Tamandua tetradactyla: one gene and its partner. Each later gene encodes a partner of the first gene's protein in a complex. Links are inferred from orthologs where the notes say so. Each region holds a gene or a part of one and is shown on either strand. Other genes may lie near its edges. The genes, in order: BBS7 and ARL6.

Region 1 (8,235 bases):
TGCTGCATTAAATTTACTGAAGACACTTGACATTATGTTCACAATGTAGAGAAGCTCGGATTTATAGACCTAAAATAGGGAACAATATAAAATAAGATCTAGTATCTTCAAACAGTTCTGTGCACTATAAAAAGTTAGAAATCACATGAATATGTTGTGATTATTAAAATAAATTTGAGAACCATTTAAGAATAGCTCTTTTATGCAATCATGTCCAATATATTATTTCAAATCCCTAAGCCAAGTGAAAGCAGTTTTTGTAAATGAGAAGGGAAATTGTCTTACTGAGCAGGAGAACTGAAGCTACGTTGATTAATTGTGTGGCTGGATCTTAGTGACTTGTTCTTCCAAAACCGGTTTACGCCATCAGGGCTCCGGATGTCGGGGGTAGAAGCGTTTCAGGGTGTGATGCCCAAGGAGCAACCATGATCATGCTTTCCATTTCTCCCCTTAGTTTTTTAAAAAATAAATCTAAAATGGCTGTTTTTCTGCTTTTAAAAAAAGTAAGTTTCCACATTTTTACCAAGGGAGCACACTAGTGAAGGGCAATTTGTCTTCAGGACTCAGTCGCTCGGGAAACCACCGCTAGACGTATTTACGGTTTAACTTGAAGGCAATTTAAATGGCTTTGGTTCTTCATCATCAGTTGCTTAGTGGTTGCCCATAATGGCTGCTTGACCACCACAAGGTAAAAGGACGAGTTACCGAGGAGCATGATACTCCTGCAAACCGATCTGAAGGCCTGTGCTCTTCACCACATCTGAGATACAATCAATCATCTGCTGGTTTTTAGTACCTCAAAACATGTTTACAAAGGGAAAATATGGTGGCAATTTATTTATTTATTTAGAATAAAAACTCTTCATATCTGCTAGCGACTTAGTTGAGAAGTGTTTAAAAAATAATAGTTCGAACTTTTGTTAATCATTCAGAGACAAAACACAGCTTTTAAAATAATAAGTTACCTTTTTTTTGGATGCAGAATGAAAGAACTCTGAATATTTTATTTTGCAAGCTCTTTTTCTGTCAATTTTCAATGCCATGACATTTTTTCATTTCAATGCTTTAAAATAAATTTGATCTTCAAAATAAACTTTTTCTACATGATTAAAGTGAAATAAAGAGTGAGCTTTACTTGTTAAATGGAAACTATTCTTTACCAATTTGTTTTTATTGTAAATATTGTAGAGATTGTATAAAGTTGAATTTTATAATGCTACCTTAATTAGATAGCAATTTATTGTGAATTTTTTTCTTTAAAATTACCTTTCTATCATGTACAATGAAAAAACGACACACATTTTAAATCCCTAAGGGCTTTGTGCAATTATAGCACTGGATTAGAAAGCTTCTAAAGTCTTATCCATCCCTGGACTATGCATCATACTCCCCAAAGGTCATTAAAAAAAAAGAATTTCTGCCCACTTATCAGGTTTTCAACATTCTGATGGTTGGCTTGTTATTGCACATAAACAGCAATAATGATATCTGTACCATTTCCCTCAAATTGTTAACATAGTGCCAGGGAGGAGGGAAACAAGAAATACACAGTGGGAGGATTTAGTATCCACGGTTGTGACATAACCCTTTTTTGCAATCTTTGGGACAGTAGAATGCCTACTATGTTTAGTTTCTTACTCACTTGTTTATTGTAGTCACAGTGTTTTTTTACTAATGGGTATGAATTAGTAAAAAATTGTATAGAATTGTATAATTCTATACAATTATATTTTATCCTATCTCCTCTGTGGTTTCATGTTGCAATTTACTTCTAAAATTTATCACTAAAGTAATTTCTGTGGCATTTAAAATTGATATATATTGTTCCCAACTTGCTAAACAGCTATACTATCTTCATATATTGTTGCCTTCCTTAATATGGAGTTATTTTAGCCTCAAAAAAGAATTGTCTGGGATATACTAGAACTTAGGCAAAACTTTTTCAGATTATTCTTCTGCAAGAAATAATTTATCTTCCAAAAAGCACTCTTCTCAGGGTTTTAACTCTTCTTGTTTCACAATCATTTGTGAACTGAGCTCTCCCCTAATAGCCCACACGAGACAGAAAAGGAAGTGTACTTATCTACGTCCAAGGCAGAACGCTGTGAGCACTAAAGAAGGACCTACAGAAGTGAGCGAAGGGAATATCAGCTCTTAGGTCACGAAAGCCAGAGGTTCCCAAAGAGCCGTGTGCTGACCCCAGGGCGGGAGTGGGGAAGGCTGAGGCCAAGGGAGTTTGATATTTTGAAACTAAATAATACTAAGACTAACTTTATGTTTTCACTGGGCTTGCATTTGCACTGTGCAGGCATTGCAGGCAATAGTGCTGGTGCCTGAATGGGAGCAGGGACTCTAAGCTATACAGTACTAACAGCCATTAGAGTCATCATGCCACACACTGGTAGGAAACAAAAAAAAAAGGCTCATATAAAAATGTCCTTTGTGGAAAAAAGATTTATTTTGCCTGGAAACTAAATTTTCTGTAGCACATAATCTAACACTACTTGTCTGGATAGCTCATTTAAACAATCAAAACACAGGGAGACCAGATAGCTTAATGTAATGCCTGGATACATCCTAGAGTATATTAAACAGATAATCAAAAAATATTGACAAAATACCTTGAGGGCTGGGATAAAAAATATGGAACTATTAAACTTTATCACTGGAGAAACCCCTGATACTGTGTTAGATTGTAGGGATACCCCAATCAATAGACCAAACCCTTGATCCTGAGGCTTCCTCTTGTGAAGCTTATGTAGGTAGCGGAAAAGCTTAACCTACCTATAAGTGTGTCTAAGAGTTACCTCCAGAGGACCTCTTGTTGCTCAGATGTGACCCCTCTCTTTCTAAGCCGAACTCTGTAAGTGAAATCATTGCCCTCCCTCCTACATGGACCTGACATCCAAGGGTGAAAGTCTCCCTGGCGGCATGGGAGAGGACTCCCAGGGATGGCCCTGGCGCCATCAGATATATAATGCCATCCTGACCAACAGGGGAAAAGAAGTGTAACAAATGAGGTATCAGTAGCTGAGAGAGTTCAAATAGAGTCGAGAGGCTACTCTGGAGGTCACTCTTATGCAAACTTCAATGAGACATTACTACCTATCATAACTTGCCAACCCCAACCAAAACCATTCCAGCCAAGCCTAAAGAACACCTAGAGCATTATATAAGATTCTACAAAGGTTCCATGCACTAGGGTAACTTTCCAGAAACTTACAACCTCCAGATGGGTCCCTAGACAAGATAAGTCTTGAAACCTAGAGGGCCCAGCGTCTCCAGAACATCAGCTAGTTCCATCTCACTACCCCATATTACTGATAGCCCCTTCCAACATGAAAAAGTTAGAATAGGCATAATCCAAATACCCCTAAAGAATGAGAGAAAGATCAAAGGTGATGGTAGAGTTATACAGAGAAGGTTGTGTTTAACAAATGAGGATGATCACTGAATCCTTATATTGATATTTCTTTTAGTCTTAGTACCTTAGAGCAGCTGGAAGTAAACGCCAAAAATTGTGGAATTGTAACCCACACCAGATTGTGAAATCTGTTCTACAACTAATCGTTGCAATGTGCTTTGAAATTTATTGCTTTTTTGTATATTGATTATATTTCACAAAAAAGAAAAAAAGTCGATTGTGATGGTAAAAATATTTGTCCCTCCAGTGTTCTGGAGCAGCTAGAAGGAAAAATCTGAGATGATGATATGGTAGCCCATGACAGACTCTGGGATCTGTCTACTTGTTGAACAGTGCTTTGAAAACTACTGCTTTTTCTTTCTTTGCTTTGTATATATGTTATATTATACAATAAAAAAGTAAACAAAAAAGTCCTTTGTGAAGGAATAATTGTTTATTGTAAATATCAACTCGAGTATATATTTTTAAATTGTGATGATATGGAAGGTATGCATAAAGGACTTCTGCTGAATACCAAAGTACATTGACATTATTTGATTTGCTACCTGAGCTTGCTCCTCTTTCACTGAATACTATGTGAAACGACATCTGCCAGACAAATTGTGATTCTTCAGACTTGGGTATTTGGCATACATCTCATGAATTCAAGAAGGGAGCCTATCAGTTCAAGGAAAACAAACATGTTGGCTATGCTTAAAATTCAGATTTTCAAGTACTAATTGGAAATTTGGAAAATCTGTATCCATCATTTGATTTTGACAGCTTTCTAATACTGCAAGACTTTCTGATGAGACCTGCGGTGATATTAACAAATTGGATTTTTGATATTGAATAAAGAAGCCACATTCTACACTGCAACTGACACTTTAAAAAACCTACTACTTGTTGGATTTGGGTAAAATTTTCTTCGTATACTTCAACAAAAACAATTTCTAGCAATAGATTGAGTGCAGAAGCAGAATTGGGATTCCGACTGTCTTCTGTTAAGGCAGATAGTAAAATAGATTTGCAAACAGTAGCACTTTTTAAAACTTCTTAATTTTAGAAAATATCTTTTTAATTCAACTACGTTATTTGTGTAATGGGATTTTATTGTGTTTTTAGTAAATTTAGTTTTTGAAATTTTAGTTCTAATTTCTAAAATGGCAAATATCAGAAACTCACATAACCAAAGCTCTCCGTGGTCCTCAACTCAAGAGTTTTCTAAAGGGGTTAAGGCTAAGAGCTGGGGCACGGCTGGAAATTAACGGCTGTGCAGGTGGAGCCTGACTCTCGCGGGGATCCGTTCCCGTGTCAGATGCAACGGGTCGGAATCCATGCTGGCCTCGCCCCAGGAGCGGTCCCACTCCGACAGCCGGGACTGCGCAGCTAGGAGGCGTTCCCTGTCTCCATGGAAACCGCCCTCGCGGTCTCCAGGACCCGCCTCACGTTCCTCTCCGCCTCTGATTGGAGCAGGCTAAGCCGTGGGCGGGCCGTTGGGAGGGCGGAGGGCGGGCTGTACATGCGCCCAGGGCCCCGCGGGTGAGCGTGCTGACGTCACGCCGCCGCTGCGCTGACGCCACCCCAGCGCTCCCGTCGCCGCCTCTGGGGTTGCGGGTCGAGGGCCGCGGGGGCGTCTGCGCGGGGCTGAGGCGCGGTCCAGGGCGGTCCTGGGCTGCGACCCCGCGCCATGGATCTCAGCCTGAACCGGACTGACTATTTGCAGGTATGTCCGCGGGGCGGGCGGGCGCCGCGCTGGGTGGGCCTCTCCCCGAGCGGCCCTTCCTTCACGGGAGTGGTCGGGGGCCAGGTGGGCGCCGCCCTCCTGGACGCCCGGTGAGGACGTGAGGGACGCGGCGGGCTCCGGCGGGGCGGGCAGGCGCCTGTCCAGGGCCGGGGACGTGTGTCGGGCCCCGAACCGGACTGCACCTGCCCGGAGCCGGGGGTGCTCCTGGACGTGTGACGGGCCCCCACCGGACTGCACCTGCCCACACGTGCCCTGGACGTGTGACGGGCCCCGACCCGGACTGCACCTGCCCACACGTGCCCTGGACGTGTGACGGGCCCCGACCCGGACTGCACCTGCCCACACGTGCCCTGGACGTGTGACGGGCCCCGACCCGGACTGCACCTGCCCGGACGTGCCCTGGACGTGTGACGGGCCCCGACCCGGACTGCACCTGCTCGGACGTGCCCTGGACGTGTGACGGGCCCCGACCCGGACTGCACCTGCCCAGACGTGCCCTGGACGTGTGACGGGCCCCGACCCGGACTGCACCTGCCCACACGTGCCCTGGACCTGTGACGGGCCCCGACCCGGACTGCACCTGCCCACACATGCCCTGGACGTGTGACAAGCCCTGACCCAGACTGCACCTGCCCAGACGTGCCCTGGACGTGTGACGGGCCCCGACCCGGACTGCACCTGCCCACACGTGCCCTGGACGTGTGACGGGCCCCGACCCGGACTGCACCTGCCCACACATGCCCTGGACGTGTGACAAGCCCTGACCCGGACTGCACCTGCCCAGACGTGCCCTGGACGTCTGACGGACCCCGACCCGGACTGCACCTGCCCAGACGTGCCCTGGACGTCTGATGGGCCCCCACCCGGACTGCACCTGCCCACACGTGCCCTGGACGTGTGACGGGCCCCCACCTGGACTGCACCTGCCTGGAGCCGGGGGTGCTCCTGGACGTGTGACAGGCCCCGACCCGGACTGCACCTGCCCACACGTGCCCTGGACCTGTGACGGGCCCCCACCCGGACTGCACCTGCCCAGACGTGCCCTGGACGTGTGACGGGCCCCCACCTGGACTGCACCTGCCCAGACGTGCCCTGGACGTGTGACGGGCCCCCACCCGGACTGCACCTGCCCAGACGTGCCCTGGACGTGTGACGGGCCCCGACCCGGACTGCACCTGGGCCCTGTCCCCCCCTTTCCCTGGTGCAGCCACCTTGCACCGCAAACGCCCAAATCTCCATTTATATCCGTCCCTTCTCCCAGAAACTATTACTTTAGACTGAGCTTGACTGCACCAGCCAGACCATGATAAAAGCAATGGCAGCCCTTTATTGAGCATCTAATTCAGTCTAAGAATTTAATATACGTTTAATCCTAATAAAAAGCCTTCGAAGTAGAACGTATATGACAATCCAGGGACTCAGAGAAAGGAAGTAACTTGCTTAATAGCTAAAAATAATGGCATTTTTTTGTTTTTATTAATTAGAGAAGTTGTAGGTTTCCAGGAAAACCATGAAGAAAGTGGAGTTCTCATGTATCCAGTCCTCACACTCAGTTTTCCCTGTTTACATTTCGTGTTAGTATTACCGTTATTACAATTGGTGAAGCACATTGTATTCTAGTTTCTGATTATGCATTTGCATATTCTAATTATCTTGTATAAGTGAGGTCAAACAATATTTGTCCTTTTTGTGCTGACTTATTTTACCTGCTGTCTTCAGGGTTCATCCATGTTGTTAGCATATGTCACAATTTTGTTCCTTTTTAGGATTGAATAATACTCCGTTGTATGTATGCACCCCATTTTGATTATCTGTTTATCTGTTGAAGGACACTTGGTTTGTGTCTACCTTTTGGCAGTTGTGGATAATGTCCCTATGAATGCTGATGTGAAACATTATTTGAATCCCTGCTTTCATTTCCTTTGGGTGTATGCCTAAAGTGGGATTGCCAGGTTAGATGGTAATTCTGTGCTTAACTTTCTGAGGAGCCACCACACTGTGTTCCATGGGAGGTACTTCATTTTACGTTCCCACCAGCAGTGTTCCTGTTTCTCCACGTTTTCTCCTACAAACTTGCTATTTTCTGGTTTTCAGTAGTAACCATTTTAGTGGGTGTGAAATGGTATCTGTGGTTTTGATTTACTTTTCCCAAATGGCTAATGATGTCTAGCATCTTTTCATGTGTTTTTTTTTGTGTGTGTATTGTTGGAGAAATTTGAGTCTTTGACCCTGTGCCGTTTTGAAAGGTTGTGTGTACCCTAGAAAAGCCATGCTTTAATTCTAATCTCATTTTGTAAAGGCAGCCATTTCTTCTAATCCCTATTCAATACTGTATGCTTGAAACTGTAATTAGATCATCTCCGTGGAGATGTGACTCAATCAAGAGTGGTTGTTAAACTGGATTAGGTGGAGACATGTCTCCACCCATTTGAGTGGGTCTTGATTAGTTTAATGGAGTCCTGCAAAAGAGGAAACATTGTGGAGAATGAGAGATTCAGAGGGAACAGAGAATTCTGCAGCACCATGAAGCAGAGTCCACCAGCCAGGAACCTTTGGAAATGAAGAAGGAAAACGCCTCCTGGGGAGCTTCATGAAACCAGAAGCCAGGAGAGAAAGCTAGCAGATGACACTGTGTTCATGTGCCTTTCCAGATGAGAGAGAAACCCTGACTGTGTTCACCATGTGCCTTCTCACTTGAGAGAGAGACCCTGAGCTTCATTGACCTTCTTGAACCAAGGTATCTTTCCCTGGATGCCTTAGATTGGACATTTCTATAGACTTGTTTTAATTGGGACATTTTTTCGGCCTTAGAACTGTAAACTAGCAACTTATTAAATTCCCCTTTTGAAAGCCATTCCATTTCTGGTTTATTGCATTCTGGCAGCTAGCAAACTAGAACAGACCTATTTTTAAAATTGGGTTGTTTGTCTTTTGGCTGTTGAGTTGTAAGAGTTTATATATTCTGGATATTAACCCCTTATGGAATATGCTGGTTCCAAATGCTTTCTCCCGTTCTGTAGGTTGTCCTTTTACTTTCATAGTGAAGTCCTCTGATGCTTAAAAGTTTTTAATTTTGATATGTCCA
Region 2 (7,929 bases), on another chromosome or scaffold:
ATGTATGGGCAATGGCGTTCAAGGAGAGCTTCATGATGACGCCTAGAGAGCAGAAGATAGACCAGAAAACCTGGGAAACTTGGATTTTGGCTATATCATTTGAGCCACTGACTAAATCTTTCCCTAAATCTAGCCCTACTGTTACATTTTGCAATAATATGAAGTAACAGATTTACGTTTTTTTTGTTTGCTTACTTATATCCAGTTTGAGTTGGGTTTTCTATAAATAAAGACAAAGAAACCTAACTGACATATTTATCCTTATTTTCCTTTAACATATAGTCTTTGTAAGTCACTACAAATCCATTTGGAAAACAATTTATGGATAAATACACATATACACATAATTTTATTAGTGTTTACTAAATGTTTTCTTAACTATAATTTATCTGAAACACCCTATTAAGTATTATTTTAAAAGAACTTTGATTACTTATCATATTACATCTCTCAAGTACTTTGAAGTTTCTTTGTTAACTTGTCCCTGAAGTATTCATTTGTATGTGTACCAATTCTTTAGAAAAAAAAAATCCTGACAATGCATACTTCAAAAAATTCCATCAGCAACCCAAAGACAGATGTATTCTGAAGTTAAATAAATCTGTTGCTGACATACTGCTTGCTCTTTATAGTAACTTTGTGTTTGTTCATATACTTCTAAGGAACTGTTAACCTAGACTTCAGGTTTCTAAAGAAATTTCAAAGGAGCTCTTGTTGGGCCTATCACCCAAAAACCTCACTATCTGGTGCGACAAGAGAGATATCTCTTTGCCAGATTTCAACTATTTCAGGGAATGCTACAGAATAATCGCAGTACACCTGTGTTCCAAATATTTCTAGTTACTTTTCAAATGATCATTTTCAAAGTTAACTAAAAATTAATACCACCAGTTGATTTATTTTTATCTTCAGTTAAGGTCCAGTACGCCCATCATCTTACAACTCCTGCAATATTTTTATTCTACACCATCCCAGGCAAGCACTCTTGCAGGATGTGAAACTGCAGCAACTTAACCAGTAAGACACTTGCAAGATAACTGCATCTGAAAGGAGGCTGCACAATCAACATTTTGCTAAGGCCCACTGGGAGATCACTATGGATAAAAATTTCAAAAATTAATTTCAATCACACTCAGAAAACAGAAAGAGCAGTGCTCCACTCAAGTGTGGGGCCTAGGAGAGCAGCTCCAGTTGGTTTACCCAAGGGATGAGTATGATCTCAAGTACTTCCAATTTTGTCATTTAAAAAAATTTATCTCCTTATGCTGGGGATTAAAAAATTAATCCATTTCTTTATTTCTCATTTTAAGCTTTGTCATTTGTAGAATCTGTTTAAACAGACTTCTGATATGAAACAATTCACTCAGACTATCTTAACTCAAAATAACTTTGTTATTGCTCACTTCATTATTGTAAGACATTTTGATATGCATGCTTATATCCTGTCTTCCACTTTCCACAAACTTCTGAATAGATTTTTAAAATATTACAATTTCTTACATTTCTCCCTTCCCCCTTGCATCTACTATAAAGTATATTTTGTCAAAAACCTGAGGTTTTTTATAGCATCTTTTATTGTGCCTTTCTTTCCCCTCTCCATGGATTGTCAAACACCTGATTCTTGCTATTGAAACGTTTTGGACAAACCATTTAAAAAAGAAATCAAGTGTTCTAAAATAAAATTACCTTTATTGAAGTTGCTTTATACACAAGTACACAGCCCTATAAATGTTTCTATTTTTTAGTAGTTATAATTTTCCTTGAATAAGTTTAGTTCTGATGCATGAAAAATGGAAATAAAAGATAAGTCAAGCCACTCAACACGTATTTATAATGTCTTAGTGCACAATAGAGGATACAACAGAGTCTTCTGTGGCTACCTACTCTTGTAGCCATGATATTCAACCCTAGGTGCATATTGCAACCATCTGCTGAATCAGAATCTCCAAGTATTGGACCATGGCATCTGAATTTTAAAAAGCATCTGAAGTGCAGTCACTGTTGAGAAGGACTGGTTTTCAGGAAAAAAAAAAAATCCCAACTTCCATGCACAGCTTTCAAGGTTGTTCACAATCTGGCTCCAATCTACTTTTCCAATTTATATCTTACATTCCCCTCTCTCTACAGACTAGCCTGTAAAATTCTCTTGGTAGTACCGTGAGGAACTGTTTCTTAAGATTGTATGTACCAAAAAAGTCCAGAAGAATTAGAATGTTATCCACAGTTAATGGGATGGAAGGTAAGAGATGCAGAGAGATAGTGGTCCCGTAGAGAAAACTTTACAAAGTGACACTTTTAAAACATTTGTTTAGTGCATTATTGCGCATCCTTATTACACCGAATACACATCTTTATTCGGCTTTCAGTTTTTTATAATAACGTTTTAATTACACCTTCCACACACCAAAATAAAGCACAAGTTGGACAGTATTAAAACCAACCATACAAAATTCCCCAAATCAGCCCAATAAATTTTCTAGGGTCCCGAGTATTCGCTTCAAAAGCCCACTTCTTTTCCACCTCTCACACAAAAGAAACAACTAATAAGCCCATTGCCGTGGGAAAGGGCAATTCTAAAACGGCCTGGGGTGGGGCAGCGCAGGTTGGGAAGAACTGAGGAGGGGGAGAGATACCGGGTCTCTTAGGTTAAGCCTGAGAGCCCAGGAGCAGGTGAGGAACAGGGGTAGGCGCACTCACCTGTATCGGTCTCTGGTGGGAATTCGGCCCAGGGTTCTCTCAGCCTTCCTCTCTAAGTCCCCACAGAAAGGACGTCTGATCCAAAACGAAGCCGCCTCTAGGAGCTGGGTGAAACGGTACTCCTAGCCGTAGTCTTAATCTCAGCCTCAACCTCGGCCTCGGCCTCAACTGGAGCATCAGGGCTAGGGCCGGCGCCTACGCGCTGGGCGTTCCCTTGGCAACAGCGGCTTCTTCCGGTCCCGAAGCTCCGCCTCCTCGGGTGTGTTAGGCGATCTCCGCTTTGCTTTGGGTTCTCGGACTGAAGAGCTCCCGAAGGAGGCTAAAAGCAGGCCTATGAATTCTATTAAAGAAGGTCTGAGCACAGATGGTTGGATGAACTGTCACAGACCCTTGAGTGGGCGGGCGTGTAATCCCCGGGGGAGGATGATGGGAGTCGTAGGCGCGCGCACAGCCTGCTGGGATGCGATCCTGCCGCTGACGCCTGGCTTCTGGTTCGCCGCTTCGCTTGTGTGTCTCGGTTCTGGTGTCCTGGAGCCTCTAGGCGATGTCAGCCCCCAGAGCTGGGCGCTCGGAGGTGGGGCAGGGGCGGGGTGTGCCCTGGGATCGCGGAGGAGTCTGTGCGTCATTCCCGGGAACAACACGGCTGTGTCCATTGGGCAAGATGTGCGCTGGGATTGCCCTGTACGTTGCACAGACCCTCCAGCTGCCACTTGATGGGTTGCATGGAGGAGTCCTGACTGTGCCAGGCCTCCGAGTCAGGAGTCTTCAGAAGTAAAGCTGTGAATATAGGTACAGATAGGAGATAAACTGGTGTAAAAGGTCAAAGGCATTGTTGGTACAGTGGAAGTAAGCCTTTACCCCTGTTTCGTAACTTTCTGGTCTCCGAAAGAGATTTCCTCGAGGTGTAATCTTTAATTAGGTTACAGGCCCCAGAATTAAATCGGCAGGTGGTTAGGAAAGGAATTAATCTGAATGCTTAAAATTAGCCACCTTCTTCAATTGTACTGGGATTTTATAATAAATGATCTTCAAAGTAAATATAAAATATTGTCAGACTTTTAAAAACGCTTTAAAAAATATACTTTCCAGCAGACAGACCACAGATACAGTGATTTTTAAATCTCTGTTTTTCAGTTGTTCAATCTGCCCTGCCTCACTAGCTTCATCTTTAGTAAATGGCTTTCATGACTTAAATTTCCCTTAAGAAGAATTTTCATCTCTTATTCCCCTTGTTTGCCATGGATGCGGTCATTTTTCCCCTTCTTATTAGCTAGTGCTGTTTAATACCTATCTGCTCTTTGGCCTATGAATATGACTTATTAACTGGATTAGGAGGATGAAAAGGATATTAGGAATTGCACCAAAATAATGATGAGGTGGGTGAAGGTTGAACATGTATGATTGTGAAGTGCTTTTTGTTACTTTTTCAAATTTTTCAAATGTGGTTATGATATTTTTACAATTAAAGAAGTGGTTGCAAGATAGAAATCGTTCAAACACAAAAAATTTAAAAAGTCAAAACTAAACGAATTTGTAGTTGTATTTGCAAAAGTACTGGCTTACAAATGTTCTTGTAAAAAATGGAGTATGGAAATATATTCTTCCTGAGGCCTTGGGCCAATTTAACCCTTCTTTTTGTTTGGCTTCTTCACCGTCAAAAAAGATGATATAGATCTCATCTGCTTGTTTTGAAGATTAAGTGGACCATAGGGGTATAAATCTTTGACACATAGTAGGTGTGCAATAAAATAATTTCTCATCTTCCTTTGTCTTGAAATTTTTATTACATGGAACCTCTAAATTTGACCTAATCCTTAAATGTGTTTCTTTGACTTCTGACCCCAAAAGACATTTACAGGAGGTGTTAATCATTTTTCTGTACAATGTCTGTGGGCCTTAAAACTCATTTTGTTAAGAGTTGTAAACAAATTTGCTTACAGTCAGAATATGACATTTTCCCCCTGCTTATAACATAAGCAGATATCCTATGTTCCAGAAAACTTTTGGGGACAGAGTTAATTTATTTCTTTTGAGAGTTGATATTTTTTGCCCATTGGTGAATTGTTTTGCTTACTAGTGAAAACTGGAAATATTATGATGGGGTAGATTAGGCATCCAACTCTTCAGTTAACGTAAGCCGATAACATAGGGTTTAAAAAAAATTAGCTGAACAAATTTTAGTCTTAGATACATATAATTGGTGTGATGACTTTTAACATTATTATTAGAGATGAGATAGTGGTCATGAAACGCAATTTATTTCTAGTTTTCTAGAAAATGGCAGCTTTTAAAGCATACCTTAAAAATCTTAAATATTTCATATGGTCAAATCTTCTGGTTTGGTGTTTTGTCCACTGAAACTTCCCTCAAAAGTACACTCAGAGGCTCTGCATAAAAATTGTTCCACCTGATTTAAGAAGTTAGTTAGGTTCTGTTCATTTTATTAGGAGAATAATAAGTTTTACAAAAGCTACTTAAAATACCCGAGGAAGAGAAGAGAGTTTCAGGTACCTTATTACGAGTTTTAATTCATACAGGCTTTTGGAGCTGTGGTGGAAGAATTATGAAAGAGATGAATGAGATACAATGAACATAGTGCTCTTCTGATTAATCCAAGATGCTTTTTTCTGTAGTCTCTTATGGTCATCCATTAACTTTTATAAGAATATAGAAAACCCAGGATTTACAATTTATTGGAATATTTTTGAATGACATTGATAGTTTAAAGCTGTGTCTGAATATCTGGATGCTATTCATCTTTTTTTGATCATCTGCATTTTGTGTACTGTATTATAACCTCTGCAGTGAACAATTTAATTCACTTAAATATCATAAAATATTTTGCCAATATAAAATCCCTAAAAAAAATGTTGTATCAGTTATTTATAGTGATTTATATGGATTGTTGGTCACAATGTGGATGTGTCATAAGCAGTGCATTTAAAATTCCATAGTATGCCCAAGAATAAAATGCAAAACTCTTGACCTTAATGACATTATTATGAAAAATAACAACTGTGAGTTTATATCCAGAATTACTAGTGTCTAAAGAGCATCTCAATTTAATAGACTAAAAAATAAATTACATTAAATACATATCAATAGAGCATTATAAAAAAATCACAAATTCATCCACCAGAACTGTAACTTTTATTTGCTAATAGATATTTTAATAAACATGTTTACTTCAGCTGTAAGACCCTGATAATGCTTCTTATGAAATCATAGAAAAATAAAATAACAATAATTAGTAATTTGTACTTTGTACAAAAATTTTATTATGTTGCTCAGCAGGTAGTTTTGCTAAACACCATATTCTGCAAATAGATGACATATGTAATGCAATTCACCATAAGCAATCCTTCATGTTGAGAGCTGAGCATTCTATAACACTATTAACTTGTAAGCATGCCAGCACATGAAAATTTACATGGAACATCATAATATTATTGTAAATTTTTATAAGATGAGAATAATACCACCTTCAACTAAATCTGGACTACTTCACTGCTATAGTAAAGTAGGTGATAGGTAGATTGCAGTTCAGTGGTGAACACTCTTACACTGTGTTTCTCTACCTTTTTGTGATTATAACCAGAAAAGAGAACAAAGGCTGTGTAAGGATCCTGAGTGAAAGACATATATTGAAGTTCTAAATGGTGATATAATGCCATAGAGAAAAAATACATAGATCTGCACTTCCTTATTCTCCCAAATTGAGATCTTTTCCCCTCTTGCAAGAGTACAGTGCTAAAATCCATAATTAATATAAACGGCTTCATGGCAAATTATACAGAGGTACATTTTTTATCATACACTTATAGAAAGGAAAAATATTTTCAGCTGCAGTGCAGTTTTTCATTAGTCAAATATAACTGAGGGATTCAATGTCTCAACCTAGACACACGTTATCTAGGTATTTTTATATAATGTGCTCTTTCATATTAATAAGCTTAGGATTTGTGCTACAAATATTTTTGTAACTATTATCTTGAATACACTGCAACTGTATATGTCATCTACCATTTAAAATTTGACATGGCCATTTAAATATCTAAAGTGTTTAATCAAATACATATTTATATGTACACATACATCTTTATATTTTATGGCCATGCTAGAACAGCGGAAAAGTGGAGAGCAAATCTTAGTCCATTATTCACAGTCTAATTTCACATCAAATCCAAAAGAAAATTGCATCATTCAATGCCAACACATTGAGTTAACACCTCTCTAAGCACCAAGCACAACCTAAAGGACCAGATCCTTCCTATAGGTTAGGGAAGGGCACAATGAACAAAACAACCATATTGTTTAAATAAGAGAATGTACTGATCTTTTTCATATGACAGCAAAGCAAAAGAACTGTTTTACTAAATGAGTAGAACCTGTTTTTTTTTTTAATTCATATGGAGGCTCAAACACCTTCAAAATAGTGTTTTGAGAAAAACTGACAGCTTGAACATGTAATAGACATCTTTCAGGATTAAACAAATTTTAATTTTCAGACGCTCTGAATTATGACAGAATAATTACAAAATGTTTCTTTTTCCCCTACAATATGCAAAATCAAATAAAAGAAATTGAGAAGTATCAATGGCATTGAGATGTCCTCACCAAATTTGTATATTATGGAAAAGAGGACTCTTGTCAATGTTCTTGGAAAGCACAGAATTCAGTTTCAGGTGTTCCAAATTAAGATGTCTCAGAAATATTTACTAAACGTGTCTTAAAACATTTTTTCACAATAGATTTTTCCCTTATAGCATATTATATATGTATATATACATATGTGTGTGCATACATCCACTTTCCCATTTTCCAACTATTTATACCTCTCCTCCAACTTGTACTCTCTTTCCACCTCCCAAACTGGTTTTATCTACTGCTGAAATATAGCTACTCGCATAGTAATACCCTTCTCTACCACAAATAGCTACTTGCATAGTAATACCCTCTCTACCACAAATCTACTAACCTATTTGCATATTCTACATTGCCTTCCTTTCCATTGGAGTTCTGTGGGGTTCTATGTCCATTCTATTTAAAACTAACCTCTCTACTTGTGCTCTGAATCCAAACCTCTCTGCTTCTCAAGCCCTTCGCTATTATAATTATGCTTTCTATCGCATAATGTTATCCCTTCTCTATGGGATCATTCTCATTAGTATATAATTATGCCTTAGTATCCTTTATCTTATTAGAAAAGTAAAACCTCCTCTTGGCCCCACA

The links.
Region 2: the proteins of BBS7 (region 1) and ARL6 are in contact, whole or in part, in a cryo-EM structure (PDB 6VBV), measured with the Bos taurus proteins. The link is inferred for Tamandua tetradactyla from reciprocal best matches to the Homo sapiens genes BBS7 and ARL6. Residues at the interface, in NP_001178275.2 of Bos taurus: Leu3, Ile249, Val250, Gly251, Asp300, Gly301, Tyr302, Asp303, Thr319, Glu320, Pro321, His323, Lys324, Glu325, Ser326, Gly327, Pro328; in NP_001069250.1 of Bos taurus: Met132, Asp133, Arg135, Thr139, Ser140, Val141, Ser144, Trp157, His158, Ile159, Cys160, Ala161, Asp163, Lys166.

Annotation. Positions count from the first base shown.
Region 1 is NC_135348.1:46,866,994-46,875,228, forward strand, and holds the start of BBS7 (BBSome complex member BBS7), read left to right. Parts: upstream 1-4,994; 5' UTR 4,995-5,093; coding exon 5,094-5,129; intron 5,130-6,445; exon of another isoform or gene 6,446-7,887; intron 7,888-8,235.
Region 2 is NC_135336.1:52,249,255-52,257,183, forward strand, and holds the start of ARL6 (ADP-ribosylation factor-like protein 6), read right to left. Parts: upstream 3,226-7,929; 5' UTR 2,698-3,225; intron 1-2,697. UniProt on the Homo sapiens protein: Involved in membrane protein trafficking at the base of the ciliary organelle. Mediates recruitment onto plasma membrane of the BBSome complex which would constitute a coat complex required for sorting of specific membrane proteins to the primary cilia.